3 linked regions of the Drosophila melanogaster genome follow. The protein of the gene in region 3 interacts with the protein of the main gene of each other region in a pairwise test. Each region holds a gene or a part of one and is shown on either strand. Other genes may lie near its edges.

Region 1 (11,063 bases), on a different chromosome or scaffold from region 3:
CATAGATGTTATGCACCCTCGTCACGCTACCAAATCGGGATATATCAGTTGGAAAATACCTCTTTTTACCTCCCCCCCCCACAAAACTCATCGCATGATCATCGCAGTATGTCTCGAAATATTTTGTGGAAACTTTGTTCAATTGTTGCGAATCGCGTGCAAACATGGAATGGACTAAGATATTTGTTTGGGACTTAGGGCCCAGATACAGTTATCTCCACAGATATCTTTATATCTTTTGCATATCTTCATCTGTCGGATAAATGTGCGAAATCGGACCGAGACCGCAAGGAAGGCTAATGAGCACAATGACTTGGCCCGGCTGAAAGATTGGCTTGTGTAAACAAGAAGGGGCAGGGGCAAGCGGGATTCTAAAGGGTGAGATGCAAAATGCACTGAGCGAAATTTAATTGAATCCCAAATATAGACATTTTTTTTGAATTTTATTAGAATGCTTGCCAAATGTTTGATGTATAAAAATATATATATATAACACTCGTAATTAATAGTATAATAATAGTATTTACAAATGTGATGTGTAAAATGCAAGCCAAATTGAGGAAAAGTAGAGTTCTTTCAACTTTTGGCTCTTCTCCTTCACTTGCTTTATCTTTTCCATCATCAGTTGAGATGTGAAAACGCCCACAGACAGCACCCACAACCCGTATGTGTAATACCCCCACCACCCAGCTATCTCCATTTCCCATTTTCCTTTTTCCCATTTTCCAGACCCACCCACACTCGTCTTCCGACAAAATCTGAGCTCTCTATTCCGTAAATCTGATAGCTGCCTCCTCTGTCCAATATTTCTTACTGTGCCCGAAGATCTCGATCTCAATCGCCGCTGCTTATTGTCGTTTGTTTATCCCAAAGAGCTTTTCTGTGGGCGTTGCAGTTTTCATCTTTCCCCACCCACTTTCCCCCCGCGTTCAGCCCCACTGCGATGTGGTTCATTGACTAGACTTGTCGCTGTCATTATTGCTGGGTCGTCTGTCGCTAAATGTACTACACTCAAAAAATATAAATAAATAAAAAGAGGCATCTCTGGCAGAATTCCCTTCCATTCCGTTGTTAACCCGAGTGGCAGTTGCAATGCCCATGGGAATTATTAGATAGGTTGTTGGGTGTCAAACACTTGAGCATTTCAACGTTTGATCGGAATCGCTGGCAAATGGCCTGGGAAATGATTTTCCCTATTTTCCACTCGACACACTCGATCTTGATCGGCATTATGACAGACCATTTAACACTTGGCGACACATCAATTTCAATCTCGGTCGCTCATTCATTCGACCCCCCCCCCCCTTCACCGACCCGTCTCGATTTCATTTCAATTAAGTTCAATTCGAGTTATGCGGCAAAATGCAGCTCATTTTTTGTATGTTCTTAAGTGCGCTTTTTTACCCTATGCCAAATAGGATTAAGTACTTTTTTAGGCGGGGTTCTCAACTCAAATGGTAAAGACACTTGTTACAATAAAAAAGATCTATGAATAATTGTTATATGTATATACATATAAACATTTATATATGTATATATATATATACGTATATATTATATTGTATCACTACAATATCATTTAGACTGGAATTTATAGTAGAGTATCGGCGATTTCGGTGCCCTGCAATCTTGTTATATTTTCTTGGAGCCCTACGCATCTTGTTCCTCCTCTTTCTGGAGTTCGAGTGGCTCGTTAAACGCACGAGTGCCCAGACGAAGAAATGGGAATCTGGAGGCGGAGACTTGGGGGACCTGGGGGACTTCTGGGTCTTTGGGGGCTTGGAGTGACTCTCGCTCGATGCAGCCATCGAACGTGCATCGGCATTGGGTTTCTTTGCCGCTCACTTTTCAGCCATTTTCACAGACCAGAATCACAGGCATTTGGTTGGGCAAACAAAGGCAAGCGGACAGGAGCCATAGTGGCAGTGGTTCCAATATGACCAATATCTATAGCCAAGCTTCTTACCTAATCGAAAATATCTTACACTTTCGTTGAGATATTTAAAAATCACTGTTTAGAGCATCTAATTTATATTAGTAACGCCTGAAACTGTTTGCATATTCTTTCCCACCCTATCAACTCCCTGGATCGTCTTGGCCAGGCTCCACTGTACGCCTGTCCACACATCCAAGGGCATTCGTTGGTGCCGTGTTGCACTGTTCCATAAATAGCCGCATCTCTGCTCTTGACACGCTGAAAACTTTTGAAAACAATTGACGGCATTTGAAGTAGCTGGCCAGGTTTACCGCCTCCCATTCCACATCCATTTCCCCACCACCCTTGTCTACCCCTGCCCCAAAACAACTTTTCACAGGGCATCTTCAAGGGAATTTCACGCATCCAAAGAAGCATTTTCCATTCGTTACGATTTCGAACTTCTTCGGTTTCCACACACAGAAAATTGTTTATCTTTAAACCCGATCCAAAATTCAGAAAATAGCCATACAAATTCGTATCTTTACAGGGGTAAATAAGAACCAATGGGGAATCAAAAGTATTATCAATTCAGATTTCAACATATACACATCCATCTGTTTTTGATCGTTTAATCGATCAGATTTTCAAAATCTGTAAATTTAGCTTTACACAACTTGCATTCGATTAGGCAGACTAGACAAGATGTTTTAAATAACTACATATGTGTATATGTTATTATTACTTCAACCGCAATTGTTGTTAGTCGATGTCAGTCTAAAACTTTGATCTCTGAAATTGATCTGACATCCCAACACTTCTCTGCTGATATGTAGGCCCAAATGCACCCTGTCTAGATTTACGCATTCTATTAATAATACATGCATAGCCGAAAACATCAGACACTTAACCCCTTTTCAGTAAATGGGGAATTTGACAGCTTTATGCACTGATTTCCCTAATTGCCATGAAAATTCCACTCCCACTGTGCACTGCGCACAGACGAGGTCAGAAAAGTAGAGTCGGTATTGCTGAGAAGTGAATAGTAATCAAAAACTTCAGTGCAAATAAAAGATAAACCAAAACCATTATACATTCATTTGAATTCTACTACTTGACTACTTGCTACTTTCTTGACCGCTGCTGTACAACTGCACATAAACGCCCCCACATCATGCGAACAATGAGTGAGAGAAAACATATAGTAGAACATATCGCTGACATCGGGCAAAGGGAACGACAACCACAATTGCGGTAGATATGTATGTATGTACATAGATGTGTATTCATTTGCCATAACAATGAAGTTGGCTCCTAATGAGTTTTTAAACGCTAGGCTGCGGCATTTTTAATTGGAACTAACCAACGAAAGCCTTCCATAATAAAAATTGGAACTGCAACTTGGAAAACTTGGAATGCGAAAGGAATGCACCATGGAAATAGCAAATGGAAATGGAAATGGATGACTAAACTTAGACAATCGATGAGCGTGATTTTTCCCAATGCAACTAATTGAACGCCATTTGGGGAGAGTTGACTGACTTAACACTGTATTTGATTGTATCCATTATATATCCATAATATGCCAATATTTTCAAACTGGCTTACTTGCTATAATTGGCTAGTAAACACTGTATAATCCACTAACAAAATAAAACACCAGTTGAGGTGAGCTCAGTGAAAATTTATAAATATTGCGTTTATCTTATCACGTTTTATTCTAGATGTCTGTATGTAAACATGTGTTTGCTAGTCATTGCTAGCTGAATGAAGTGAGAAAAACTATTGCTCACCAAATTGTGAATCGATTAATAAATGCATATAAAAATATTACACTCCATATGAACCGGCTGGGAATATATTCCAATTGAATTTAATGGATATTAACAAATCTTACTGAGTCATAAATGTCTTAGAACATAAGTGATTAATAATATAATAATAAGTATGATGATAACATCTTGGGATCAATGTAATCTTTTACTTTAAGACGTTACTGTGTTCTTTTAATTTTAATCAAAAATATGACCATTGAGAAGTTATTGAGATAGACATCAAATACAATTGAAAAGCTTATAATTGACCTCGTTTTCTTGCGGTGTAGCATAGTAAACATAGATTCCAATAGGTCGTTCGGCCAAGTTAGGAGGGCCGTAGCCCGATATCGGCGACACAAATGTTCATCGGCCACTAACGACATGTCAACCAGGAGAACCGTTAGCTGCGGTCACGTTGCCCACCGAAGTAACCAAGTTACCAAGTTAAGGCCAATGCCAAGTAGCCAAATGGCCAAGACCAAAGAGCCAAAGACCCAAGGCCCAGACCGATCTGCAATTGGGATTGTGCTGGGTGGTTTTGGGTGCGGCCACACTACACAAGCTGAGAAGTAGGAACAAAATAGAAAACATGGGGCAAAAAAAAAAAAAAAAATAATAATAAAATAAAAACACAGTCTACGCCTACCAAATACGGCAGTCGCAACCAACAACCAACTCAGTCCAAACTCCCCAGTCGAAAAGCCAAGAAAAAGTTGATGAAAAAAATCCAAGGCGAAAGCGAAGCCAAAACAAAGTGAAGTGGGCAAAAAGGAAAGGAAGCCGCCGCCGTCGACTTTCCTCCAAAACCGAAACCAAAACCATCGGAAAATACATACAGTATGTACATATATACATACATATATATTTGTACATATACATACGTAGTTACGGTGGCCAGTCAATTTTCTTGTCGGCGGAAAAGCAGCGAAGTGGGCCCCACGTAATGGGGCAGCCTATCGAGATCCCATATTCCAGATCCCAGTTACCAGATACCGAATGCCAAATACCAGATAAGATCGATCCAGCCAAATGCAATTGGCCCGTGGAAAAAAGGGAACCCAAATGCACTGTAAGCCAAGATGTGGAGTTGTGCCTAAATGTTAATATTATAATATTCCTAACATTCTTTAAACTAATGTCATTCGGTTAACTGGGCCTGTAGCTAATCAACCGCTTATCTTTAAAGGTCGTTCTCGTTATCAATTTGGTATGATAACTTGAGCCATGTTATGATGTAGGCTTCGTTTAGCTATGCATCATAGATATGAGTTACTAAGAAATTAATTAATAATTCCAAATAAAAGCTTAACCGAGCGAAAATGGTGGTGATCTGTTTTATCTTTCGTTGATTGATGATTTCGAAAATCTCACAAACATTACATCATTTCATTACGTTCATATTTCCAGGAATTTTACTGTGTTCAGTATTGTCTTTTTTCAGTCAAATTATGAGAATACCAGAGTTTTCTGGGAATGCGTTTTACGCATTAGAAGTAAGTAGTGCCAATACCAATACAATACAATACAACGGTGAACCCCTTTGTAAACTGCTTCATCAACCCCTTGATGTTTTCGTCTGCTTCTTTTCTGATTTTTTTTTTTTTTTTTTTTTTTACAAATTTGTGTGCAGCATGGAAAGAGGCTTTTACTTACGTTTGGGGTAAATGGGTGGTCGGCATTTAACCGCCTCAATGCCACTGCTGCTGCTGCCGTTCATCGTGCTTATGACGCTGGCCACGCCCCCCGCCGCTGTAGCGCCCATCGTGGGCGGTTGGCTGAGCGGGAGTGGCGGGGGCGGCGGCTGATGCTTCATGGTCGCCGAGGGGGGCACATTGCCGCCGCCGAAGAGGCGACGCTGCGGTAGAAACGCCGTTTTGCCGCTTGTGTTGCAAGTTGCAGGTTGCACAATCCGGTGTTGTTTTATGTTTTTGTTGTTACTGCTGCACGTTGCCAGCTGCTAGTGCTGCCACATTAAATTGACACTAAAAGTTAATATAAAATGGGCAACTAATTTATAACATAGGTAAGTACTGAAAATATATATATTTAGTTTTATTAGCGCATATTAATCGGTTATAGTTGCGATTTTTGGGGGGATTAACTCCCACACTTTAATTACTGTTTCATATTTTTGTTTAATTGTGTTCTATATATTTTTAAACCTCACATTTCATTTGCGTGCAAGTTTGTTGTTCACTAAGGGTTAAGCTTAACAGTAACTTACGTACACATGCTTATCTAGTGCTTATCTCACTCGATGAGGTGCGAGCGGGAGGGAGGGTGGTTGGGAGGCAGGCAGGGTGGGCAGTGCGAAAGAGAGCTACTAACTGCAATATTGACTTTTTAGGGTTTCTGCACACACATATGCATAATATCAAATGCATTTGCGATTGAAAACTGCATAGTCAATGGGTGGAAAACTAACGGTGCAGCTGCTTCACCTTGACCTACACGACCACAAGTAACAGTGAGATGCACAATACACTCACACACACACACACAGCGCCAAATCACCGCTCTTACACACACGAAAAATAATAATAAAAAAAAGGCTCACGCACTTTGTTATTAACTATTTCCGTTGTTTTGGTTTCCTCTTTTTTTTTTGTGGCAAAACGGTATGAAATTTCACCGAAAAAAAAATTGTCGCGGGAAATATTCCAAACTTCTAAGGGAATATTATTTACAATAACAAATATGGTTTTCTGAGCGGAGTTTTGAAACATACACTTTCCGCGCGCTTTTACTGATGCTTCTTCACCGCCGTCGCGTCGAGATCTGATTGCAATTTAGCTCTGCTCTGCTTTTCCATTTCCAAAAACATTCGAACCGAAAATACCAGCAAAAATACCGAACAAATAATACTGCTGGATGAAAGGGTCTTACTTTGCGCCATTTCACTTCAACAACTTTATTCAAACTTGAGCCTCTAAAAGTACATTTGAACAAGAATAAAATTTGTTAAAAATAAGAATGGTATTTAATATGAGTCCATAATAATAATGATATGAGTGCCATTATCTCAAAAACTAGGTAAACATTTTTTATGGCAACTACATTTTTCCTGAAATGTCCTTAAAGAAATGTCCTACGAGTGGAGATATACCCCAAAGAGTGGGGAGTCGATTTTTCTCTAAACTTAGGTCGAACATAGATAGTTAGATCTTTTTTTTTTTAACATTTTTTGCATTTATATTGTTTAGAATTCACCTATAAATAACAAAAGAATATATAAATAAAAAACTGCCCCATGTTCGATATTCCACCGTTCCGGTCAGATATCGTAATTGTATTAATGTTGTTTTTTAAAGAAATTGTATTGTAGACCGAATAGAAACTAGGAAAATGAGAGAGTTTGTTTCTAAACAATATTGTAAAAGTAGTTTACAATATACCTAAAAAATACTGAATACGCAAACTTAGTCTCTCCAATTGTGCACACTGACACAAGCTGGCAGCTGTAAAATTGCAGCGGGTGCTCAAAATGTGCAGGCTGGCAAAAGCAGAATGTCTTGAAAACCAAAAGGTTAAAAGGCTTTTCAAGAAAATTGCTTTTAAAAATTCAAAAACTAAGGAAAAAATTACAAAAAAAATAATTTTAATCAGTGATATAAATGATTAATTGTTTCAAGAAAAACTTTCGTGACTAAAACCCTTTTTCAGCCCGATTGGAGGTCGCAGCATTGGCGGCTGGATTTCTGATTTCTGGCCTCCGTAGCACACGAACAACGCGCCACAAACTCAGTCGAACTTAAACGGCGCTGGCAATCGGACGCGTTTTCGAAAACTCGCTCTCTCTGCGATTTCATTCTGGTTTTTTGGGAAAGTGTAAGCTCGATGAGATGAAAAGAAGAATCCATTGAAACGCGTAAATCTTCCTTTGTCAATTTGTCAAGCTCGCGGCATATTTGTTTCAACAAGTTTTCAGTGCTAATTTGTTTAATCGCGTAGGCTCAAAGAGAAACTACCCAAAAAAAGAGGGAGAACTTTGTTTTGCTTTCTGTTTGTTTGCATTTTTTTTATGTGCTCGAAATTGAAGCCCGGCAATGGCAGCCGCCTGGAACAATGAAAGTTGATTGAATATTTTATGCAAATTTCCCATTGCAGAAAAAAAGGTGCGAAGAACAACGAGAACAACAACAACAACAACAACATCAACGGCAGCTGCAAGAATAATAATAGAAATTGCTGTCGAGCAGAAAACTGGAAATCCAAAGGCAGCAGCAAGAAATCAGGTGAATACCGAATACCTGTCTGTTTCTCGTGGGAAAGTTTAAGATCAAGGCCAGGGGGCCTTACCAGAATGGGCTGGATTGGGCGGACATGGGCTGGTCTGGTGGTGTGGAAATTGGGTGGGTGGTGCAGGCGCGGCCTTGCGGCCACTGCCAAGGTGAAGGTCACATTGCAGGCGAATGTCGGCGGGCCTGCACTAGCATTGTTGTTATATAAACACCTCCCACTCCACAGCCCCGCAATCCAGCAGCCAAATGGCTCACTAACCCACTGCGCATGTCGCCTCCTTCGAAGGCCATCGCATGACCTCAGGCCCCGCCACGCCCACTGGCCTCCCCGCCTACTTTTTCCGCACAGCAGGGGGCATGATGATGGGGCATGTGGTACAACATACATATGTATGTACATATCCAGGCATACTCTCACAATGTTCTCAATTCATCATACACTAGTCATTAAAATGCATCACTGATAATCGCTGAAATTCTATATGCACGCAAAGTGATAAGGATTTTACATTTATATTCTAAATTTAGCAAAGCGGTTAGTCCTCGAAGCAAGATTTTTTTGAAATAATAATTTCAAACTGTAATACTTAGCTCAACAGTATTAGAATTCATTGAATAGTATAATAATGTAACAAATGTATATATTTCATAACATTTAAATTGTTCTTCTTTATATCTGCAATTTAAATTGGACTGTCACTATTTGCTTGGCCGTAGGTGTGTGCTGCCCCTTTTCGGCAGGCTTTTAGCATTGAACTTGACAGTGGTGGTGAGCGCCTTTAACCAGTGGCTGCCCACTTTTAAGCTAACAAGGTTAGTGGGTTAACTGGCCTGCTCCACTGCTAAGACCGCTCCCGCTCCTTTCCCCCCTCCAACCTGCTCTCCACTCGCAACTCTTGAATCCCCCGTCTTCTGTCTGCTGCCTTCTTCTGCCTGCTGTCTTCTTCTGTCTGCTGTCTTTAGTTTTCTGTCTTCGGACTGCAAAGAGTCATGAGTGTTTCTCCACGCCCGGATTCGGGCAAACCCGTTACCATTAACCCGCCGATCGGCTTTGCCATCGCTCTGACCATTAAAAGCCACTTACACTGACTTTCCATGCTAATCAAAATTGAAGCCCAAAATAAGAAGAAATTTGTTTGCCGCCACGACATGTCTCGACTTTTGAATGTTTCTCTCGCGTCTCCAGTGGATTTCGAACTGGCCAGTGCAAGTGGGCAATGCGAAGTGGATGGCTTCTTGGAACTGGCACCAAAGTGGAGCTGGTGAAATTGAGCCACTCCGGCGGTGGGGAGATGATAAACTCGGCGATTTCTTATCAGGTTTGAACCACACTGAGACAAATCTGGGCATAAATGCCAATTGGGCATTGGACAAATACTTTGGTGGGCAGATACTTTTTAACTTAGCGAATAAAAGTTACGTTTAGTAAACAAAAAAAAAAAAAAAACGAAGTTATTATGTGATATATTACATTAGCGATCATATCTTAAGCAGATATATTGCAATAGCTCTCCAAAAAGTCAGCCCCTGAAAATACAATAATATTTCGAAGAAATGCAATGCTTTAAATGCAAATGCAGTTTATTATTTAAATGCAATTGTTATAACCACAAATGAGCCAATCCCCCGAATCACCGCCAAGATCGTAGATCATGGAGTTCTTCAACTTCAAAAGGTTCGATGACTTTGTCCGTGAATTGCATTGACTGACAGATTGATGGACTGATTGATGGTGCGGCAGATTGACAGCCAGCCGGTTGGACAAACTGAACAAATCGTGCCAGGTTTACGTGGGGTATTACATTGGGATACCGAAACCCATGGAGGCACGCCACGATCCCCAGCGATCCGATAATTGCGCCCCGAAAAGAGAGCGAAGGAAAACAAAGAGGCGGTGGAAAACTGAGGCTGTGGAAACTGTGGAAAAGTAAATAAAAAGTGCGAGACCAGTTAAATGAAAAGCAAAACAAAGTCATTAAACGCCGAGTGCATGGAAAAAAAAAGAAGTCAGCAAAGCTGAAAACTGAAAACCGAAAACCGAAAAAAAGCGGAAAATTACCGAGCAATAATAGAAAGAGTTGGGTGAGTTTCGGAGCTGATTTTCATTTTCACTTTCACTGGCCGGCGGGGAAATGCGGGGAAAAGCGGGGAAAAGCGGGAAAAAGCGGGGAAAAGTTGCGCTCTGATAAATTGCCAAGCGGCCAAAATGGGAAGCCACCAAGTCACCAATCCACCAAGTGGGTTCTAAAAAGCGGTCACAATCCGCTGGCTCGCAAATGAGTCATGTAGAGATGACCCCAAAAAAAAAGGGGGATCAACTACATACCTCATTAGATCAACTACCTACCATATGGATTTAAATCGCACAAAAATGATACAAAAGCATAATATCATAATATAGATATTTACAATTGGGGTCAGTAACTTTGAAGTTGAATCTTAAACTAATATTTAATTCTTTTATTGGCATATAAAAGGAAAAAGGGTTGTTATTTTATAGAATAGACTTTGAAATTCCTTTGCTGTGCTGATAATATTTTATATTTATTATTGAAGTGCGTTTTACAACATAGTAATCTGCTATGTTGCTAAAAATAATGTGAAATAATATATATAAGTTAAATAGAAAACCGTTTTTCCATGGGAATTTTCCGTGATATCTTTGCGTGATTTCCGGACCTCGTTTTTTTTTTGTTTTTACAAACTGGCCTTCTCGGCGATCCAATTCCTCAGTTTGGAGACCCTTTCGTAGCCATCGGGCGCAGCTCGTCCGCAGCCACCGATGACGAAACTGGCCAAGCCGACCAGTTTGCCCTGGTAGGTGGCCGGACCACCGGAATCCCCGTAGCAGGCACCCTTATCCTTGGGATGCAGCAGGCACATCGTGGTTTCCGGCAGCTGGCGTAAGTACGTCTTCTGGCAAGATTCCCGGGATAGGGCCTTCACCTGCACGTAGAGCAGGGAGTTGGAGATCGGTCCGCGCTGGGAGATGGCGCCCCAGCCGGAGATGTCCACGGTGGCATCGTTGGGCGGATCTTCGGTGGCCAGCTTGATGGCGGCTATGTTGGAGTTAAAGGTCAGCGAGTTGCG
Region 2 (11,063 bases), on a different chromosome or scaffold from region 3:
TATCTGTATCTTTATCGTATCTGTATATCTGTGTTTGCATCTCAATCCCTACTTACTTAATTAACGTTATGCTGACTTTTGTGAAAGCGGTAGGGAAAGGACCAGGGCACGCGGTCATTTGCATTAACCACCACCAACTCGTTTGGTTCCTCATTGGCCCAGTTGGGCTTGTCCTCCAGCACCTCGAACCGTTCCAGACCCAATCCCACACCCATTCCCAGGCCGAGTCCCACACCTTCTGTTCCCACGTCATTGTAGCTATCCTCGCCCTCATTGTCGCCGTCATCCACATATCTCGCCGGGTTTTTACTGGCCCCATTGCCATCGTCGTTCTCATGATTCGTTTCGTTGGCTTCATTTCCGCTGACCCGATGCCTGGCCAGACTCATTCCGGCCACGTCCAGTGGTTTCTTCGCATAGCTGAGCAACTGCAACTGCTTTGGGAGTGCCTGGGATTGTGGTCCAGTCGATGCTGATTGCTGGGAGTCCGCAAACTGTAACTGTGACGACTCCTTGTACGGCGACAGGGCCCATCCGTAGCTCCACAGTTGGCTGGGGAAATGCTTCCACGGCAGCAGCTGTTGACGGTCCAGCTGCTCCTCACGAACTGCATCCCTTTCCCTTTCCCTCTCCCTCTGCCTTTCCCGCTCCAGTTCCCGCTCCACTGGCCACTGCTGGCGGTAGCGCCTGCTCACCTTGGGAGCCAATCCTCCTGCTCCCGATCCTCCGCCTCCTCCTCCTCCTCGCAGCACGACCCTCTTGCCCACGTTCTTCAGGATGGCGCGATTCAGTTCGACCTGGACACAAGAAAGGTAACACGGTTCACATAAAGTTAAGTAAAGTAAAATGCTGTTAACTGCTGTAAAATGGTTGACAAATTGAAATGGAAGTGGGGTAAGCCCGGTTCTCCCTTATCCCCATGGATTTTCCATGTACTTTTCCCGGCAAAGGGAAAGCTAAACTAGATTGACATGCATGATGGATGACCACATTCAATTTGGATCACAAATCAAATGCCAGTGCGTTATTACATTAATCGAGGATGAGGTATGTGGCACGATTACATTTTAAGCACTTTAAGATACTTTAGGAGCAGCTTTAGTTGCTAAACTGAAAAGCCACCAGATACTTTGCCTAATTACTTTATAGTTACTTTAAGTCTCAGGTGCTTGTATAAAACATACTTTAATATTTAAAGCCAAGATGATTAATCGTTGGAAATGTATTTATACCTTTTCCTATCTTTTAACTTAATACTCGGTTTAGCTTAAATCCAATTTAAGTGTAAATGCCAACTTGCAGTTTTCACACCTTGGAAATTCCATTCTTCTAGTGCTTTGGATATTTATTTAAATTTCTTTCTGTTTGCCAACCACTTTGCAGGTCTTTTAAAGAGTCAGGTGTTTGCATTGAGCTGGGGATTCAATGTCTAACTCGTAAGTTCGGGTGACATTGCATTTTTCCCTTTATATTTTTGGCCATGTGAAAGTCTATTTTCATCTGCTGGGAATAGTGCACAAACCGAAACGTGATCTATTCCTTTAAGCTGTGAATAAGTATGTCGATTCATTTTGTTTGCATTCAAATTCAAGTGGTGAATGCTATTTCAGATATCTAGCTCCATCCTAACTTTTAAATACACGTTTCTAAATGTAACTTTCCTTTAATTGTGTGGTATTAAATTTGACAGCTTGCCGTTGAAAACCTCATTTTGTTTCTTTGAAATTTCACTTTAATTTCACTCCATTTTATTTCCCTTTTATTTGCCAGTCTAACCCAGGTGTTTTCCGAAAACATTATGCCTGCTGAAGCTCATCTTTCTCCGATTCGGATTGCTTTCGGGATGCATGGATTAATTTATGAAACCCCTTTGACAAATCAATAATGTTATCTGGCGTATGTGAATAGGTAGGTGGGCATGCGGATAGGCACATCCATGGATGAACATGACCCTCTTTAACGGAAATTCGTGGGAGGAAAGGTGAAGCTATCAAGGCAAATCGTTTGAATTCCTCGTATTAAAACGTTTGATTTTTTTTGTTTTTAACATTTTCGTTGGCCTTTTTGTCTTTGTGTGTGCGCCTTTGGGGGATCGGAACGTTTTGGTAACCAAATAAACTCGCTTTGTTACCGAGCAAAAATATTTGCGTTACACATACGCCATGTTGGCTTTGTTTTTGGCACTGAGCCGCATGCATATACGTATGTATATTTTTGGGTGTCAGGGCCATCCGATGTGCTTAAGCCTCGATTTCGGGTTCGCCAGGATGTTGTTTACATTCCAGGAGCAAGTAGGTGTGTGGGCTGCACAGAGTCTTACCATTTGGGTCCTTTGGAAATTTATTAGATTCGCTAGCTGCGATGAATTAAAAAACTTTCTGCACCTGCGTTTTATGCGTTTTTATGGCTTTCGAAAAGTATTTCTCATCAGGCATTCTAGTTTTGATTAGCCCGCTACATTTTCATTTATACCTTGCAACGCGACCTACTTTCATTCCCCTTAAGACGCGGCATTGTTCTCCGTTTGTCTGGGCCATACGAAGCCAAAGTTTTGTTTTACCCTCCTTTGCAGCTTATTAAAAATACTTGGCCAAGTGGTCAGCCATCCCCGTTTAATATTGCAGAACACGAGACTGACCTGGCGGGAGTTCTCCTTCATTTGCCTGCGTGCGATTTCCAGGAGCAGACGCTGGCGCAGCACATCCAGCGGATTGACAATGGACAGCGATGGTTTGTTCCTCTTGGCCAGCAGAAAGTCATCCTAGAACGAAATACATACATATTTAGTACGTTAGATTCGCTGTTTGGCTGGAAGAAGTTTCCCAGCGCATGGCATAATAAAATCCTGACGAGGTAATGCAAAAAGTTTTAAGTCCCTGTGTTTATATACAGTTCTGTGCTCGAAGTTTATTCTTTTTTTGTTTTGTTTGTTGATGGAAATTAAAATTATTATTAGCATCGATGGTGAGCAATCTTAAGGGCCTCGGCTATCGCATATTTTTTATATCACCTTTTGTTTTTCCCACAATTCGGGAAATTATCGTTACACAAAATCTTGCAAGCTTATCGGTGTGTTGTTCTACGTTTTTTCCACGATGATCAATTGGGAATTTCGTGATAACAGCTCTTCACTGATAAGTGTGAAAACTTCAAGCTAATTCATGACTCACACGTAGCCACAAAATAAAATTCAAAAACAATTACCTTGGGGGGGCGGTTAAAAAACACCTGATACTATCACTTTACGATCCGCCCAACAACGCATATCGCAATTTCTTTACACCACATGAAAAAGGGGATTTGGATTTTGCTTGATCATAAAGAAATTACCCGAAATTTATACAGAGTCTGGACAGGTGCTTCTTTGGAAAAATTTAAATATTATCTTTTATTTGTTGGTGTTCCTTCCAAGAAGTATTTACGTATCCTAAGTTCAGGGCAAACAGTAAACAACCAATCCGAATTCATGTTCAGATAAATATGATAATTACGATTATTGTTGGTCTGACTATCAGACAGGTTACCTGCGATTAGATAAGAATGTGGCAGTGTGAGGTCGAAATGTCTGGCAGTGAATGGAAGTGGTTATCAGCTTTCTATAAAAGCTATGTCCATCTGCAGAACCCGGTAGTATAATCGAAACAATAGCGAAATGAAGGTCCTAACTCTTATCCTCTTCACTGCCTTGGTGGCAGTGGCTTCTGGCCGCCCCAATGGCGGTTGGTTCGGAAATTTTGGCAGCAACTGGGCCAGGAGGTTCGGTTGGGGCTCCGGTGACGATGAAATCGTGCAGGAACAGAGGTGGAATAGCCAAAATCAGTGGAATCCAAATGGCAACGGTCAGGGTCAGTGGGATGGCGAAAATGGTCAGGGACAATCTCACGGAAACAATCAAGGCCTCGGCCAAGGAAACGGACACGGAAACAACCATCATGGTCATCATGGCAACAGTCATGGTCATGGTAATGGTCAAGGCCACGGTGGACAGCGCCCTCCTCCACCACCACCAACGGATCTGCCTGAGTTGACCACCGAGGATGATGTGGTATCCACCACGGATGTTACCAGTCCCGCGGAGGAGACCACTCTGGCACCCGAGGTTCCAGAAGAATCTACCAGTCAGGCACCAGAGGAAATCACCACCGGCTCTGAAGAAGGCAGCGGTTCCTCGGAGGACACCACCACCCTGGCCCCTGAAGTTCCGGAGGAATCCACCACTCAGGCACCGGAGGAAAGCACCACCGACTCTGAGGATGGTAGCGGTTCTGAGGATACCACTCAGGCTCCGGAAGAAACCACCACCGAGGAGCCTGAAGAATCCACCAGCGAGGCTCCCGAAGAATCCTCCAGCGAGGCGCCCGAAGAATCCACCACAGAGGAGCCCGAAGAATCGACAACCGAGGCGCCTGTAGAATCCACAAGTGAGGCACCCGAAGAATCGACGACCGAGGCTCCCGAAGAATCCACAAGTGAGGCGCCGGAAGAATCCACTATCGATTCTTCAGCGGTCTAGGAAGTTAGTTTCATTGTTACCAAGGTTTCTGGTTCATTTTCTCAATAATCGTTTAAAATTTGGCGTTTCCGAGTAACAAGGTTATTAAACAAAGCGTTATAAAACGAAATATGGTGCAAATATTAAACTGTTATAGCTAAATTATTAACATGTTCTCCCAGAAGAGCGTAAAACCATTTCTAGGGTTAGGATTGAAGCCTCATGAACCCACATCGTGTTATTATGTCACGCACTCGCCATTTAGTTTTATAGCTCCAACAATCTGAACAATTAAAACAACCGAAAAATGAAAAAATCCCAAGTCACGTTTACTTATATGACATTACTCAAAACTTTAAGGTTCTAAACGCATTATAATGCTTATCACTTAATTGAACTTTCGCTTTCCGAACCATGAACATTGGCTTTTTAAGCGTTGCGAGCCGATGATAAACTGATTGATTGACGTACATACATCAATCAATGAATCGCTACTTGACTGATTAGTTGGCCAATCGACCCTTATCGAAACATACATATGTATGTACACATGCCCATTTGTTCGAAAGAACATATGTTTGTGCCCAACGATGTGTCATTTATGGTGGTACAAATGGAAAATTTCGTAATTGGCCTTTAACGTCGCCTCGGGGTTGTATTTTTAATTCTGCCCCCATCATAAAACATCATTTCATTTCTTTCAGTAAATAAAATTAAATTGTTTACGTGTCCTTCGCATTTACGTGCTTAAATCTCCAATTTGGCAAACGAACTTGCCTCGCACTCCAATTCCAGCGAATAAAGAATACAGAATAAAGAATCAACTTAACAAAATTCGAACTTCTTAAAAAGCAGTGGTAAAACTTTTGATTGTGGACAACAGGAGTTGGCCAAGACAAACAGCATGTTTGGTTTTCTTTTTTTCTTCCTTGACGTAAATTTCCATTTGTTTTTTAAAACATAAAAAACCCATAGACTCAAATCAATTTTGTTGCCATGTTCGTGTGCGTTTGGGAATTTATACGATCTTTTTGTTCGACCGAAGAAGTTTTACATTGAGGTATTCGAATTGGTCAAGTGCCTAGATTAGATTGTGGCCAAAATTCAGATCGAGGTACCAATAATGTGGTATTGATTTCGAGGAAATCGGAGAATGAAGATTTGCCACTACTATAAAATGCCTAATGTACTTCCCATGTATGGATAACTCTTGATAAGAGCTTAATCTTTTAGCAATTTAATATATCCGCGCTAAATAAACTGCGTATGAGATATTTTTCAATCTATTTGGTTTTAAAGGGTTGTGCGGAACCCTTTGCGGTCACATTTTCTGGCTTCTTGTAAAAGTTAACGCATTGTGGCGAACAATGTGTCAATTTATGAACCGAGTGAATGGAACCAATGAAGGTTGTCAAAGGAGCGATGAAATCGCCCGTTTGCGAACTGCCGAGCCAATAATTGAATATGCATTCGGAAAACATTCAAACAAGTGACGCAAAAACTGCTGTCACTCACTCACAAAGGGAGACAGCCAGAAAGAAATGCACACCAATGGCCAGGACTATGCCCATGCCCATGCCCATGCCCACCTGTGAGTTCCGTGTTCCATCCGGGTAGTCCAGAGGATATCCGTTTGTGCGGCCGCTTCCGCCGACCTCCGCTCCACCCGCTGCCGCTCCCGATCCTCCTGCAGCTCCTCCTGCTCCAACTGCTCCTCTTTGGGCCGTGCAGACGAGCCTTGTGGCACACAGTAAAGTTAATAACACCGGACAAAACCACGCTGTGGCTTTCATCATTCTGCAAAAAAGGAGGAGAAAAAAAAACGCACAGTTGCATGGGTCAGTGCACAATTCATAGATATGCATGTAACGCCAACAGTTTCAGCATAAAAAAATAAATAAAAATCTATCAAAATGAATGAAGAACGTGAGTATTAGTGTATATATCATATCAACCAACTCTGCTAAAACTATGCATATTTATTTACAGTACTATAGGTTATAGGGTATGCAAAGTACCATACGCTATGCAAATTTGATCTGTTCATTTGCGTGGAAAATTAAGCTCATCTGTGGCTATTATTTTTTGAATATTTTCCGAGCCACTGTCTTGTGCAAACTTTGACCTCCGCCGTTTTCCCACTGGAATAGAGTGAAAATAAAATGCTGACAGCTAACCTGTGAAAAATGCGAAATATTCTGACAACAAGAAGTGCTCTCATATTTTATGGGTCACGTAAATATGTGGTACTTCTGAATGTGGCAGTGTAGTTCTTTATGTACTTCCGAGTATGCACCTATATATTTACATATGTATGTATATCAATCCCATGTCCCTCTGGACTCTTCAATCAGTTGGCAACTGGAGTCGGGGGCAATTTGCACGAGGTGCACAGAGGAAATTAGGTTCTAAATTGAAGACGGCGACGAGTAAACGGCAGCACAACTAGATTATTTTCCTGTTGCACAGCTAAAGTTACCAGGGGAAAAGTTATTTCCAAAAAGAGGAAAAGGTGCTTAACTTGGAAAGAAAAAGTTCAAAGATACTTTAGGCACATAACAGCCCATGAAGATACTCTACTAGAGTATCATGTATCTATTAGATTGTTTCATTTTCTTAGCCGCAGACAAATAGGTGATTTTTCAAAGTCTAAAGTAATCCCTGGAAGAGCATTCACCAATTAATTCAACATAAACGAACGTTTTTTTTACTTTTGATCTATAAACAAACCCGTGTAAATGCATAATTAAATGAAAACCCTTTGGCGCTTTCAGGAGTTTTTTTTTTTTTTGTCCTCCTTTCAGTTTCTCCCATATTTATTTAACATATTTTTCTTTCCCCTGGTTTTCCATCATAATCCTTTCATGAGGTCACTTTTAATTGCGTAGAACAACTGAAAGTTTCACTTTGGTTTTCCCACACCGACGCAATGTAAAGCAACCATTGTTCTCAAAATGAAAGTTCCCTAATCCAAGTAACTTTGTGTAGCTAACAAAATTAAGTAACAATTGCCACAACAAGGAAAACTTCTTGCAATTTAGTGTGTGCGTACGTAAAAGTTTGAACTGCCATAACTCAAATTTCTGCATTACACAAAATTAGGTTTAACATTCCTAAATAATTTATAATCCCAAGAGCGATGGCAGCTCTAAAGTTAAACACAAATTGGCAATTTTTAAAAAGAAACCAATTTCATTACAAACTCTGTGCAAGTGAAATTTACACATGAGTTTTCGGCAACTCATCAGCAACTCAAAGTTGCACTATGAAAACCTCCCCATTTTGGGAATTAAGTCGGCTCCTTTGTTTTCGGTGAGGGGGAACGGGACATACAGCTCATATAGCACCTGTCATCGGGAGCATTAGACATCGCAGATAACTAAGTGCTCGAATGGCAGCCGCATTAGTCCATGCCGGCAATCACATGTCATATGGATGCCATTCGGCGAACGGGGATTTACGAATCCGCATCTGAATCCGGTGGAAATCCGTGGGTGTGTGGGTTGCTGGCACTTTCGGCAAACGACAATTGATGGCTATTGATTTCCCCTAATAGATCGCCTAAATGCTGGAGAGAGATGTGATGAATCTATTCCTGGTAACAACCATCGAAGTTGCAACGGAAATTGCAATCCAATTGAAATAGGGATCCCGAGGGGAGTGAGTAGTATTCCCCAGCCGATATAATGAATGAATTTTCTTACATTCTTACTTTTGAAGTTGAACAAATATTGATTTTGTGAAAGTAATATGGAATTCAAGGCAATAAAACTGCCCTGCCCCACTGAGGATTGTGCTCCTGACAGCCATTGTCATACATTTACTGGGCGACTCTGGGACTCGGAGACGGAAATCGTGATTGCCCAGGGCTACTTGCCAGGACGTCCCTTCTTGTTTTATCGGCAATTCAAAGGGCGGACCGCGGCACAAGGAAATGAAATCCCTGCTATCTATGCCACCAACTCGAGATATTTACATGCGTATGCAAATACGAGTATGTGAAAAGTTTTCCAGCTCTGGCCGCTTTAAAGGCCGTAAATCCCATTTGATTAGGCCGTAAAAAAATCAGCACAAAAGGCCAATCATTTGGGAATCTGCAGCTCAGGGGTGGAGCAAAGAAAATTACCAGGTGTGATTGCCGACCTTTCGCTAAGCTTGTTTGCAGTCTATTAGGTTTCGTCGGTGTGTTGTTACCTGAAACCGAACACAAAATGCAAAACTAATTAGCCTAAACGTTCTTCGGGCCATCAATCAAGCTTGCCGCCACCTTTTGGGCCATTCAATTTGCGCCACATTTCCGTTGAGGTTTTCGCCCGAAATCTGATATGTTTTCGCCAAAAAGCCAAACACTAAACACCAAACTCAAAAACATAGAAACAGCACTCTTTCCCAAAATTATCACATAAAAGAAGAAATCACCTTATCAGTGGTAATTGCCTCTAATTTCGCTGGATCTGCGGAACTCGGATGCACACTCGACGGATTGATTTATGACGATCGAGATACTGGATATTTCGCGTGGGTTTTCGAATTGTCTTATTTTGGGAAAGAGCCCCCCTACTTTTATGGCTTGTTTATCTTTTTTCTAATTTATTTTATGTATTCACGCGTCGCGTCGCGAAACGTTAACTGATTCGGAATCTTGAACTGTTGCTGTAGCTTGTGGCTTTGGTTCCTCTGATGGATTTTCACCCAGCATCGAAATCGAGGGTCGAACGCAACAGGCTGACGACGAGCGGAGGACTCACGGAGTATAGCGATTACGGCGTGTTTTTATATTGGGCGCCACGAGGCGCCCACACGAAGTGCCGGATCCGAAATCCGAGCACGAAGTCCGAGGCGTCAGGACGACAGGACGACGGATGTGGGAGCCCGAAGAACTCGGAAGGCAAAGGAAGGTGCTGAAGCCACGCGACGAGTTATGAATGAAAACGTGCGGGTACGGCATGTTGCCAGGATGATGGAAATCGCTCCGGAATCAGATGAGGCGGGTCAGACCGCGTCGTTTCGGTCTGCAATCCTCACTAATAAATCACCAGGGTGTGCGAACGCATTAGGAAATTGACGGATTGTTGCCAGTGGGTGACCCGAAGCCCCTTGGTTTCGAAGTGGTGATGGTGACCTCCCACAAATCAGGTGCTTCAGCAACATGTTGCGCGAAGCCGCAACCCCGTCAACTCTGTAATTATCGAACTCAATTAATATTTAATGAGTTTTATTTGCACATTAATTGTTCGATTTAAAAGTGACGAGGATGCGGACTCCGGAGCACTCGATGTCATGTCAAGAGGTGCTAACGTGGCCCGACATTCCGCTAGGACGGCAATCGGGCGTTAAATTGCTCGCCATAAATCCGTCAAACGTTAGCCACAGGGATCCCTGGCCAGGAGATGGATTCCACGCAGGAGGTGCTCTGCCTGCTGGGTGTTTCGTCTTATTTTGGACCAATCAATTTTTATTGGGATATGCGAAGGCTAACAGAGGCCGATATCCTTTCTATTTAGGCTAAGAAAAGCAGCAATCATTACTGCTGATTACCTTGAAAACGAATTCAATTACCATTTATATCACATTGCTATCCACATTGTACACACAGCCAGATAAGCAATTTATAATTTGGGACCCCCCAAACTTTTCATGCCATCTACATCAACTAGTTTGGCTAGCCCACGCATCACTCAAAAAAAGCAACAGTGTTGCCAGCATTCGCAATTGTCCTGCGTCCTTGGGCGCGTTGATCACCCACTTTGACATACTTTTTAATTGCTTGGAACACGTGTCTTCGCCTTTTATGTATGCAGAATGTGCATGCGTCGGCTTGTAATTAAGCACGTAGGCAAACGCCTCCATTTCCTGCCCAGCAGGATGCTTTATGGCTGATTGAATTCCGTCAAAATGCCACTCCCGCCAATTTATACGTGCTTTTATGCGAGCTGTAATGCTGTTTTGGTAGTGCGAGGCAATTTTAATTTACTTTTAATTTTTAATAGAGCAACTAGTAAAGTCTAGCTACTTGCCTGATTACTTTTGCTTAGGGATTCAAGAAGGAAAGGATATCCATAAGGGTGTAAGATGCAACCTTGTACTTGGTTCTGTACACCCATTAATGAATATGCTTATTAAGTTCAATCCCCACTCCAGTGCCCACTCGGAGCCAGAAATTTCTTTTGTCCAATTTGCGTAACAAGTCAATGACTCAAGAACTCGTCTCTGGACACCCCTTTTTCTAATAGCCCATCAAGGATTTGACAGGCGACTAAACGGTAAACGGGCATTTAATGAGGAGCAGAAAAGGCAGCCGCCTCATTTCATCCAATTATCCTTGTTATGGGCAGCCGATGGTCCCATCCAATTATGCGCGATTTGACGATTGTGTGAGTGTCAGGGAACTTGGTTTCGGTCAAGTTTAATCATTAATAATTAGGAATGTCTTTATTGATTATTAAAGAGGGACATCACGCCGCCTTCAAAACATTCAATTAACAGTGTTATCAAGTTTTTCGACCGCAATATTTGGCTTCCAGTTGGTTATCTTTGAAACGCGACTAAGTGAGCGGATTATTCTTTGAAG
Region 3 (11,063 bases):
TCCGTATTTTACATAGCAAGCTTCCGGAGCATTTCCGGCCAGCACGGCCATGTCGGTGGCTGTCACCAGCAGCAGGCCGCCGTCCACCAGGCACTGCATAGCGCCATCCAAAAAGCGATTGGGACATCCGTACGGATCCAAGTCAACTGCATCAAAACGCTTCTCGGGTTGCGTCGAAAGATACATGAGGGTCCTGTACGATGTATTGGAATGCCCCATTTTATACCGTGTGCCAATAGCTTAATTATAAACCTACATTGCATCGGAGTGACTGGGCTCGATCAGCTCCTCCACCTTGTTGTGCCGGATGTTTGTGTTGATCGAGGCCACTGCCTGGCGGGAAAGATCGTTGGCCACGATCTGGCGTACACCGGCGATTTCCTGCGCGTAACGGATGCTACGCAAACCGGTGGCTGCCAGTGCCTCCAGGATCCGAAGTCCATCCTCATATCGAGTACCGGCCTCATAAACAGGTGGATCCTCGGGAACGGGAGTGGTCTTCTCATCCTCCTGTTCCTTGACCTTCTTCCGCTGCTTTTTGAGCGCCTTTTCGCTCCGCTCCTTGGTCAATCTCTGTCGATAAACATTCAGAGCAGCAATGCTCAGATCTCGATTGAATTCCTGGACAGGATTGTAGAACACATTGCCGCCGGAAACGATCTCCGCATTACGTTCGCGTATCACGTTTTCGTTGGGATTTTCAGCAATAATCTGCAATCGTAATGCTTAGCTTAATGTGGTTTATTTATAATGTGTTTTTCTTTAAGAACCTGCGGCTTTTCCTCGTCCACTTCCATTTGGATGAGTTAAAAGAATACACGTGGGGCAGTGTTGAAAAACGTAAGCTACTAGCTATTAAGCTTTAAAACTAAAAATATACACAAATTTGTTGTTTTTTATATGAAATACGAAATAAACATTACAGAATTATATTTAAGTTTAATTTAGTTTCAAAATTTACAATTTGGGTATATTCTCTGTAATAATACATCCCATAAAATGATGTTGAATAAAAATGGTTCTTAATATTTATTTGAATTATTTAAAGATTAAAATAAATTAAAATAATAAATTGACATTAAATATGACTGGAAAATAAAACTTGAAGCTAGCTACTTTGCCACCACCAGGATTATCGAAAGGACTATCGAACCAAAGTCCGCCCCTATGCTTGATAAAGAAATTAATTTGCAGAAGTGAAACAGCCGCAGCCGCAAACAGAAGCAAAAGAGCTAGAAGTGATAGCATTTTTGTACTTTTATACAGTGCCACAAAGAAGCCACAGAATGACCGATCTGCGCAACGAGATGGACAGCGATCTGGACCAGAACTACTCCCTGAACAGCAATGCGGACCCCAAAAACATGCAGGAGCTGACCATATACGTGAGTAATGCCCGAACCGGGAACCACCCAGTAAATAGAGACACCAAATGAGCACCCAGTAAACCTGCCTCCTGTTATCAGGTACAAAATCTGTTGCAGAACGTTCAGGACAAGTTCCAGACGATGTCGGACCAGATAATAACGCGCATCGATGACATGGGCAACCGCATCGACGATCTGGAGAAGAGCATTGCGGATCTGATGAACCAGGCCGGGATCGAGGGTCAGGGACCGGAGAAATGAGATCCGTAGCGCTGGCACGGCCACGCCCATTCGGAAAGTGCATCCCAATACCATTAGATACATACATCGAACACCTGGCACCCAGTCACCCGTATCAAGTTTACAATTCCAGGTTCTCACATTCATTTAATCTCCTCCGCACCCAGCTGCTCCCCAAGAAATGAAGAAAAGAACACATTTGCTCATCCATTTATTGCTTAGTTTTAAGTTTCGCCCGGTCGGGGCACATCATAATTTAAGTAAAGTAATTCTTTTGTGAGCAATGGCCAATAATTTTGAATTATTGCCGTTTAGTTTCTATTTATAAATTAAAAATTCAAGAATTGTAAATTCCCTGCTATTTGGGTGTTCAGGACTTCGATTTAACAACGGTTACCAGGCGACCAGTTCCCGATTTGTGTTTCCTCACCTGAAAGTTTATTGCGAAAAGGGGAAGAGAAGCGCGTCATTTCCGCTTGATTAGTTATGATATGCATATATTTAGTATTGTTTATCTGGGACAAATAATGCAAATCGTGACCCGTGTCCATTAATAAAAAGTGTATGGAAATCAGCGCTGAATGGCAAGGAGTGCTATATAACAATCCCTACTTTTAAAAGGAAAATCAACATTGATTTGTGGACCAGAATGATTTTCGAATATTAATTGCAATTTGTGTTGCTTCTACATATCATGTTTTTTAAGGCAATGAGATAGAGAGTGGTAATACATTCTGATTAAATTATGAAAGGAAGCTCTGAGACTGCGGGGTTACAAAAACCAATTAAGATAAACCCTTAGAAGTATGTTCCTAATTCAATTTTATTTAAGCTCTTGCTACGATTCCAGAATGTGCCTGCAATACTGATGTGAGCTCTAGGAACTCTACTACTGGTCATAATTTGAGTGCTAGTGCTGGGGCACGTGGAACTGCTTCTGCAGCCTTACATGGGTGGAGGCCACCGCCTTGAATGGATGTTTGACCGTTTGTCTGCTGGGCTTCGAAGGAGCAGAAGTGGCACTGGCACTGGTCGATGGCGTGGCTATATCCTTGCTGGCAGATCGGATCTTGGCCCCAAAAACATTCTCCCGCGGAGGAACCTGGTTGCCCGGCTGCGTGGGTTCCCTCTCGTCATCCGTTGCCGTTCCAGATTCCTCGTCCTCTTCGCCACTTTGCTCGGTTTCCTTGGGAGGAATGGAGTTATTCTATCATTCCATAATCATGCCAAATCATACCTCATCTTCATCATCTTCCTCTTCATCCTGCTCGTCGGTTTCATCTTCGGGTTCTGTTTTACTTCCATGATTGATTCCGGCTCCCGTCAGATTCCTATTGCTCCTGGACAACTTCGGGCGCCTCTTGAGCGGACTGACCAGGTGCTCGTGCTCCAAGCTATCCATCGACTGGGAGCGCAGTCCCTTTTTGAGTGCAGTTTTCCTGGAAGCCAGCTCTTCTTTGGTCTTCATGAGTTTCTGAAACTCAATGAAATCGTCGCGCTCATCAATGGTTCCAATATCATAGTAGCTTGCGCTGAGTATCTCCAATGCCTTGGTGTGCTGTTTCATGGCGATCAGTATAAAATCGCTGATTATCTGCTTTAAGTCGCGCAACTTCCGCTGCTCGAAGTTGCCAATAATGTCGTCTATCTCCTTGTTTGTGCGCTGCACCTCCATTTTGGCCTTAAACAGCTCCGAATCGGCGGCACTCTACGGTAAGTTTTGGGAATTATATAAGAAGTAAATTGTTCGTTTTAATACCCACATTGTTCGCAGAAAACTTTGACTTGAGCTCAAGCATCTGGCGCTGACGTAGTACCTCCTTATCCCGCGCTATGACAGCCAGTCGAAGATTGTCCCTTGTGGACTTGCAAAGCTGCTCGAATTGCGCCAACTCGTTGACAATCTACATAAGTCAATAATATGATATAAGATGCAGATTTAAAAAAGGATAATTCACCTTGTGTTCCAATCGGTGTACATTGATGTCCATGTAATCACCCATTATGGTAACCGCGTTGGTGAAGCTCTTCAGTCCCTGACAGAGACTCTCGTTGATTTCCTCGTCGTCGGCGTAGCTCTTCACACTCTTGGCCAACTCATCAAAGGAGTCCCGATATCTGCAAGGTCTTATGATTATTCATTCAGATTTATTTATTTACCAAACTCACTTGGCCATTTTCCGCGTTACCAAAGCAAACGAAGAGCACATCTCCATTAGATGCCTTTCTGTTATGTTTATGCGCTCGTTTATTATTTTAACACGGTCATCTTTGGTGTTTAGAAAGGATAGTTTTCCACGACGAAACATTATTATTTTATTTTAGTCCCTTATATTTGTTTTCCTTCTTTATTTATTTTATTTCGACAATAAAATCAAGTGAAAACCGTTACCAAGGCAACGTCTAAATTCATCTGGCAACTCTCGTTCGAACAGCCAGCATATTTCCAGCTCTGTAAAATTAACAGAAATGTTAAGAACCTACTGCTGCCAGGTGGCGCTAGTATCAGCGTCTTCTGCAAGTACATAGATGGCGCAAGAATAAAGTTTATCAAGGAAATTTAAAACATTCTAAAAATATTCAATCCTAAAATAAATATCTGAATATGGGTACTTCATTTTTTTCCAACAGTGTCAAGGTCAAGAGCACGTTTCGTTATAATCTGTGAGTGTTTCTGTCTGTCATCCGGTGTCTAAATTTAAATTCGAAAGATTTATGACTAATTAAGAGACTGCAAATGATAAAGAAAAATATATATAATTAGTATATATAAAAAAATAGAAAATATACTACGATATTTACCTGAAGATCATAGCATTGTAAATAGTTTATTTAAAAACAAGTCAATCTGATATTTTAAAATATCGTTGGTCCTAAAAGCCAAGCTTTACTCACTTAAATATATGTAGGACTAAGCTGACTCAAATTCTTCTCACTTCGAAGCCTTGACAACCAAATCTTGTTTTTTGGGGAATTTATTGACTCGACCGCAAGAATGTTGTGTCAACGATTAACCGAAAATGGTAATTTATTTTAAATGCTCCTCTGCCACTTAAAGGCATAGTGCAATCAAACCTGTATTTAGTAAAACGAAAATAGCAGTTCGAATAAAACCAACGAAAGTGTAGTTAAAACAGAATCCGGTTCGTGGGACCACGACAAGAATTACAAGTTGTAGAGCATGAAGAGCAGCCTGCAGGAGATTTTAACAGCTGTAGCTGCGCCGATCGCGATTTCAATCTGGTCGAAAACCATAAAGCAACACGGCTCCCAAGAGGCAAGTTCAGGTAAAAGGGGGCAGGTGGACTTCATTGTCAATCCAAGAACGTAGCTTGGCGCGCGTTCCTTGTCGCTAACTATATCCCCGCCTCTTTCTCGGCGCTGTCGGCCATCCGCTTTGAATTTCTGATTTTTATACATACACCTCGAACTCCAACGGTTTTGGTCAAGGGACTGCACTGGAGGACATTCGCGTTCCGCTGGCGACATTCATTTTTGCTCCCACTGACGTGTCAATGAATATTCTTTTTGTAAAATTTCTGCTACTTTTTGGGTAAACAGGATGGGGCATCTTTGGTAGTGGATCTGTTGTAAAAATATAAAATTGAAAGTTCTTTAGTTATTTTTCTTTTTTTTTTTTAATTAAAACATTGTTGAATGCACATTTGGAGCACTCGGAAGACCCTTCTTCGCTCTCGTATTCTTCTCTGCGCATTCCTCCCTTTCCCGGTCTCTCTTCTCAATTCTTTGTTTTTTTTTGAGTGCCAACGACGTGAGCTGGTATAAATGAAGCCAAAATCGTACGCAACCGTTTAGTCCGAAACGTTTCATTAAAGCCAACGCACGTTGAAGATCGCGCGTTCTTCTCCGATCTTTCGAAATCGAGTGATTCAAGCGATCCACAGAAATAACTGTATGACACCGGTAACAATAATAAAATTTATGCAAATTCGCGGTTGTCGGCATGTGTATGTGAATGAAATTGTGTGCGTGAACAATTTCCGCTTCGGCGCTGACAAAAATGTTTACAAACAAACAATTTGCAGCTTGTTTAGGCTGTCTGGGCAATAATTTGGATGCCTAATTTACTTCACGCAGCTGTTTGCGAAATATTTACTTGTGCTCACTTTTATGCTGAGCCCAACATAAACAATAGCTTTCTAAAACTATCAGACATTAAAAATGCTATTTAAAGTTTATAGTTGCTAATTTTGAAGACCTTGAAAAATTTACTGTCGGGCAAGATATTTAAATAATTTTCTGATGTGCAAAAATTCCAGTTCATTTTGAGATTATAATACATTCTAGATTTAAATCAGTGTATAATTATACAAATTCTTTACGGCTTTTTATATTTATCAGAACTGTAATTGGGTGTTATATCGTAAGTTCTCTCGGGTCAAAAAGATCATTCATAATCGGATTAACTAAAGATTTCCAATAAATTGCCGATCTTTGGCATATTCGTTAGTAAAATCGTGATTAAACCCGGCTCAATCAAGGCGTGACTACTTTATCGATGGAATTAAAAAGAAGCACTCTATCATAACCATTTAATTACTGAGAATAGTCTTTAGCTCCGTTTTCATTTCCTTGGAAGAAAATTCTCAATAGCTGCCCATTAGGGAAATAAGCAAATGATGCTTTTGTTTACAGAAACAACAACCTTGAACTAAACACCAAGCGCATTTAACAGGTGATTCGAGCAGCCGTTGAATAGACATAGTTCCATACAATGCAATCGAAGTGGAATTGAAATACGAATGGGGCGACTGAAACATTCAGCAACTGTGACAGGGACACATTTAAAGTCTGAAATACAAATATAGTGGAATAGAGAAGCCCGCGTGCAGCTAACGAAGCATAGACAAAAACTGATTAAGTAAATTGAAAACACAACTAAATTTACAAAAGGTTCAATGAGCAACGGCGACTTTCAAACACCCTTTTAATCGAAATTTTAAAATATTAGTAGCAAATGCCCTTTTAGAACTGCTTTTATATATATATAATTATAAAGATAAAGTTATATTATATTATATTTTTTATAGTAGTAGATACAATAGTTAATGAACCAGTAAGCTATAACGGAAACAAAAAGGTGTAACGAAAATAAAAGTTAACTTAAATGTGCCTAAGAACATTACTAATACGCTGCATTCTGTACACAGTGGAGTCCCCAAATATTGTACCCAGTTGACGGGCACAGTGTAGCGCTCTTCCCACAACACTTGCCGCCTGCCATTTGGAATATTTATAAGCCCAGCGGCTAATTGAGTGAGAGGGAGAGCAAGAGAGCGGTCAGCTAGTCACTCACTCGGTTTCTCACTCGCTCACTCACTCAGCCGGCCGCCGTTTATTTGCCGCTTCCTCAAATCATTTAAGCGCATTTGACGATTGTTTGTCTTTCCGCACAGAACAAAACTGAACAGAATCGAATCCGGTTGCCGGTCCACATCAACGCATCAAAGCTTTCAGCCCTAAATAAACTATACAAATTAAACAAATTATAAGCTTGTGAAAAAAAAAAAACCAAACAAAAATGAAGCTCTTGTTCGGTTTGCTGATGACCGTGCTAGCCCTTAGCGGCGTTTTCACATTGCCAGGTAAGTGAAAGGCTTAAAAGCAATCCAATCATGATGCACTTCATAAATTAACATTTAAATGATTAATACTTGAAAACTAAATGTTAACTTGCCCTAAGTAATACGTATAACGGAACTAACTAATATGCAATTTGTACACATATGCAACATACATATTTGTTTTCCTTCTCTTTACTTTCTCATTTTTATGTGCACATAATTAGTTATTAAAAAACACAGTCAACCTTTTGACTTTAAAAACAAAGAAAATTGATAAGCACCGGGAATTCTGATTTGCACTCTTCTACGTAGTACGTTCCTCTTATACCTTCTTGATCTGGAATATTCTGGTAGAATCTTAAAGATTACCTCGATGTAATTGTGACTTGGAGCAATATAAATAAATTATTATGCATATAATACGTAATTATTAGTAAATACAATCTGTTGGATATGAAAAAATGTTTTAATTCCACTCTGCAGCAGATTAAAGTTTAAAGTCGCTGCCTTTGCCGGATAATGATGTCAGCATGCTGATAACAAAGCGTGGCACTTGACAATCAGCCAAATGCATCTTACAGATACAACACAAGTAACTACAAATGGCAAAATATCAGGAATGCTCGGCGCAGCATCGCAGATCCAGCGTCCTTTATTGTCATCATCAGCGTTTGCTGTTCGCTGCCTTTGGCTGCCACTTGAATGCATAAATTGCTGAAGAAGCTGCCAGCGAATCGCAGATACCCCCACAGATGGGCGGAATGGTGGGAGTGGGCGTGGCAGCGGGTTGGCAGCTGCCACAGCCACTTGAAGTTGTCAAATTCGTTGCTGTCCAAATCATTTGCCAGGAATATACAAATTTTATGCAACACTCGTGAATCACAATTTTTCGGCAAATCTTGCTTGAGAATCATCTTAGCAATGAGTGCTTGAAATTGCAATGAAATATTTCGTAAATTGATGAGACAATGTTTTTTATTACATATTTCAAAATACACATAGTAGCTACTCTAACTACTGTGCATATAAGTCAGATTAGTACTGTTTAAACATTTGTTTTCTCTATTTAATTATTAATGATTTGCGATCTGAACATGCTGAGAATAGAATCATATCCAATTAAAATAATTTACGTAACCAATTAAATCACGATAATTGTGGATATACTGGATTTATCTGCAGGCTAATCTATTCTGGATTATATATTTCAAATTTAAATTAATATTGTTACATTCTTCAACAAACTCGGAATCGGTTGAATGAACTGTCATATTATACACTCAAGTCATCCCAATTTCTCTGGCTGATTGCAAGTGAAATTCTTGAGCACTTTTCTTCGCTTGTTTTGTTTTCTTATTTTTCTTAATTTGGTTTTTTATGAGATCGCTTCATGTCAGTGTCCCATGGCCAAAAGAATTGGGTTAATTGTGGCCATAATTCGCTTTTAAGAACTTTTTCCAGGGAATGTCTTTCTCTGCCCCAGAACAAATTGCAATTGCATGTTCACATAAATCACTTTTTTTTTTCCTTTTTCGAATTTCTGCTGCTCGTACGTGGAACTATGTGTGGAGTAATAAAACTCAAAACAATTATGAAAATTATTGGTGAATTATTACATGTATTTTTCATTGTTGGCATTTGCCGCTGAATAGACGGGCAATTTGTTTAATTTAGACGGATATTTTGTTATGCAAATTGAAGTTAATTTTCGAGCCCATACAAATGTTTTGGTTAAATTGTATGATATATAGTGAGATAATTAACATTTTGTGTCTGGCCTAAATCAGTTGCAATTGTTATGAAGTGGAAATACTCACAGTTTTTTTATGGGGCAATAAGCTGGTTATGAAAAATTGGTGGTCATTTAATTGAAGATTAATTCAAGTCTTATTTCTGAATATGTAAGAACACTATCTAATTGACAATTCAATTAAAACTAAACTAAACGTTGATAACACAGATACATTTAAAGTTTTATCTGTTCTTCCTAGAAATCTAAGCCGACTGCTTAATTTGCGAATTTAACAGCCAAGTCAGAAAATGCATATTAAATTAAAGCATTGAAAACAAAGCCAATTGAATGAACAAATCATTTAAGTAGAAAACACTTTTGCGAACTAAATAAAATGCGTACATTTTGGGGTTTTAATTTAAAGTGACTTAACCTATTGCCTTGGAATTTTGGACTTTTGCGGTAAAAGAAAACAAATAAATTGAACTTTGTTCATATGAATTGTAAATTGAATTGAAAACAACAACGCCGACTGGCTACATATAAATTAAAATAAAATGTTTCCTCATTTTTTTGTTTTGTTTTTGGAATTTGAGCTGGCAAATGTAATTCGTTTATTGTGCCAAGGAGTTTTATTATTGGCCTTGTCACTTTGGCTTTACATTAATTCGTAGAAAATGAAATCAACAGCTTGGCACTTTTTGTTGGGTTTTTAGGTTTTACCGCAACGTCTATTGGCTTGTGTTAAATTAAACAATTAAATTAAATTCAAAGGAAGTGATAACTTTAGTTGGCTCTATATGAATTTCAAAAGATGCTGCAATTTTAAGAGGCAGTGAAACTTGTTATTTTTTTTAGCGCAACAAGTGTTTAGTTTGCAGTCCAATGATTAATCACTTTCAATTGAAACCCATACAATTTTAGACGAAAACTTTATCGTTGTATCGTGATTGCTATTTTTAATGGGTGAAAAAGTACACGAGAATGTGTTTGTTTTCCTGGCTTTGGTAATTGTAAGCCAGCTGAACGAAATGAAATTCGCGTTCGAAAATGAGGCGAATATTTACAAAGTTTAAAGCGGCTTATGAATAATACTTTATATTCCAAACTAGCCAGGTAGCGTACATTAAAAATGCATTATATTCATTTGAATCTGCGCATTTCTCATCTCAACAAGTGTATAGAAACTAGAAGCTTACGGCAAACATGAGTCATCATTGGGCAGTTGTAAAAACAAACGAATAGTTTAATTAAGCATTTTTTTGTTGCTGCTTTGTAAGTATTTGCCTAATCAACAATGAAATGCCAACAACACGACCGTGAGACAATAGATCAGCCGACTGGCCAGAGACTCTGGACTCTCAATGGATCGCCGGCTAAATTGCAATTGTCAGATGTCACGAAGGGATTAAGTGCAGCCCCCCCCCCCCTACCCCTTTCGTCCGCGTCCCTGTCCAATTAGACGGTGACTCGAACTCTCGTCGTCTGTGATTGAGAACTACTGCAACGGCAGACTAGAAACCATCAGAATCAGCCACTTTGGCTCTGGTTCAATGTCACGTAATCGCCGCAGGGCCTCCCTGGAGGGTTATAACCCCCCCCCCCACTAACCCACTCTGCCACGCCCCCAGGCCCCTTTCACCTCGCAGTTTGCCGCCTCTTTATGTTAATTTATGTGCTGGCAAAATGTGCAAGCGCCTCTAATGCTCAGCCACGCATGGCGCAAACCCGAAATCAGAAATAAATTACAGAAGGCAGTCGCCGGAGAAGCAGAGGCAGTTGCTCATAGTCAGCACAAACTGGGGGGAATTAACACGGAGCAATCGCACCAAGAAGGTTATGCGGAGCGGAGTGTCAGTAATCTTGAAATCAATTCAAAATCTAATTAGCTGCATTCGGTTTTATCAATAAAAGATCTTAAGATCACTTATCACGCTTGAAGGTATAAGTTTTCCTAATTATAAAGGAGATCCTGAAATCTACGAATTCACGAGTTAGGAGCAATCGCACCAAGAAGGTTATGCGGAGCGGAGTGTCAGTAATCTTGAAATCAATTCAAAATCTAATTAGCTGCATTCGGTTTTATCAATAAAAGATCTTAAGATCACTTATCACGCTTGAAGGTATAAGTTTTCCTAA

Evidence for each region.
Region 1: the proteins of vir-1 (region 3) and Septin4 interact in a two-hybrid assay, tested with the Drosophila melanogaster proteins (one large-scale study listed by BioGRID).
Region 2: the proteins of vir-1 (region 3) and Fst interact in a two-hybrid assay, tested with the Drosophila melanogaster proteins (one large-scale study listed by BioGRID).

What each region holds. Positions count from the first base shown.
Region 1 is NC_004354.4:16,688,658-16,699,720, forward strand, and holds the start of Septin4 (septin 4), read right to left. Parts: upstream 6,517-11,063; 5' UTR 6,461-6,516; exon of another isoform or gene 5,957-6,460; intron 5,763-5,956; exon of another isoform or gene 5,715-5,762; 5' UTR 5,546-5,714; coding exon 5,386-5,545; intron 1-5,385. Other genes in the region: CG9676 (uncharacterized protein), read right to left, coding at 10,671-11,063.
Region 2 is NT_033777.3:9,638,717-9,649,779, reverse strand, and holds Fst (frost), read left to right. Parts: upstream 1-3,625; 5' UTR 3,626-3,652; coding exon 3,653-4,513; 3' UTR 4,514-4,802; downstream 4,803-11,063. Other genes in the region: Dh44 (diuretic hormone 44), read right to left, coding at 57-797, 2,639-2,761, 6,082-6,288.
Region 3 is NT_033779.5:12,417,791-12,428,853, reverse strand, and holds the start of vir-1 (virus-induced RNA 1), read left to right. Parts: upstream 1-5,414; 5' UTR 5,415-5,531; intron 5,532-6,991; exon of another isoform or gene 6,992-7,024; 5' UTR 7,025-7,149; coding exon 7,150-7,213; intron 7,214-11,063. Other genes in the region: Trm1 (tRNA methyltransferase 1), read right to left, coding at 1-193, 257-711, 771-797; CG5446 (uncharacterized protein), read left to right, coding at 1,287-1,385, 1,467-1,628; Fam92, read right to left, coding at 2,518-2,793, 2,845-3,315, 3,371-3,511, 3,566-3,725, 3,777-3,916.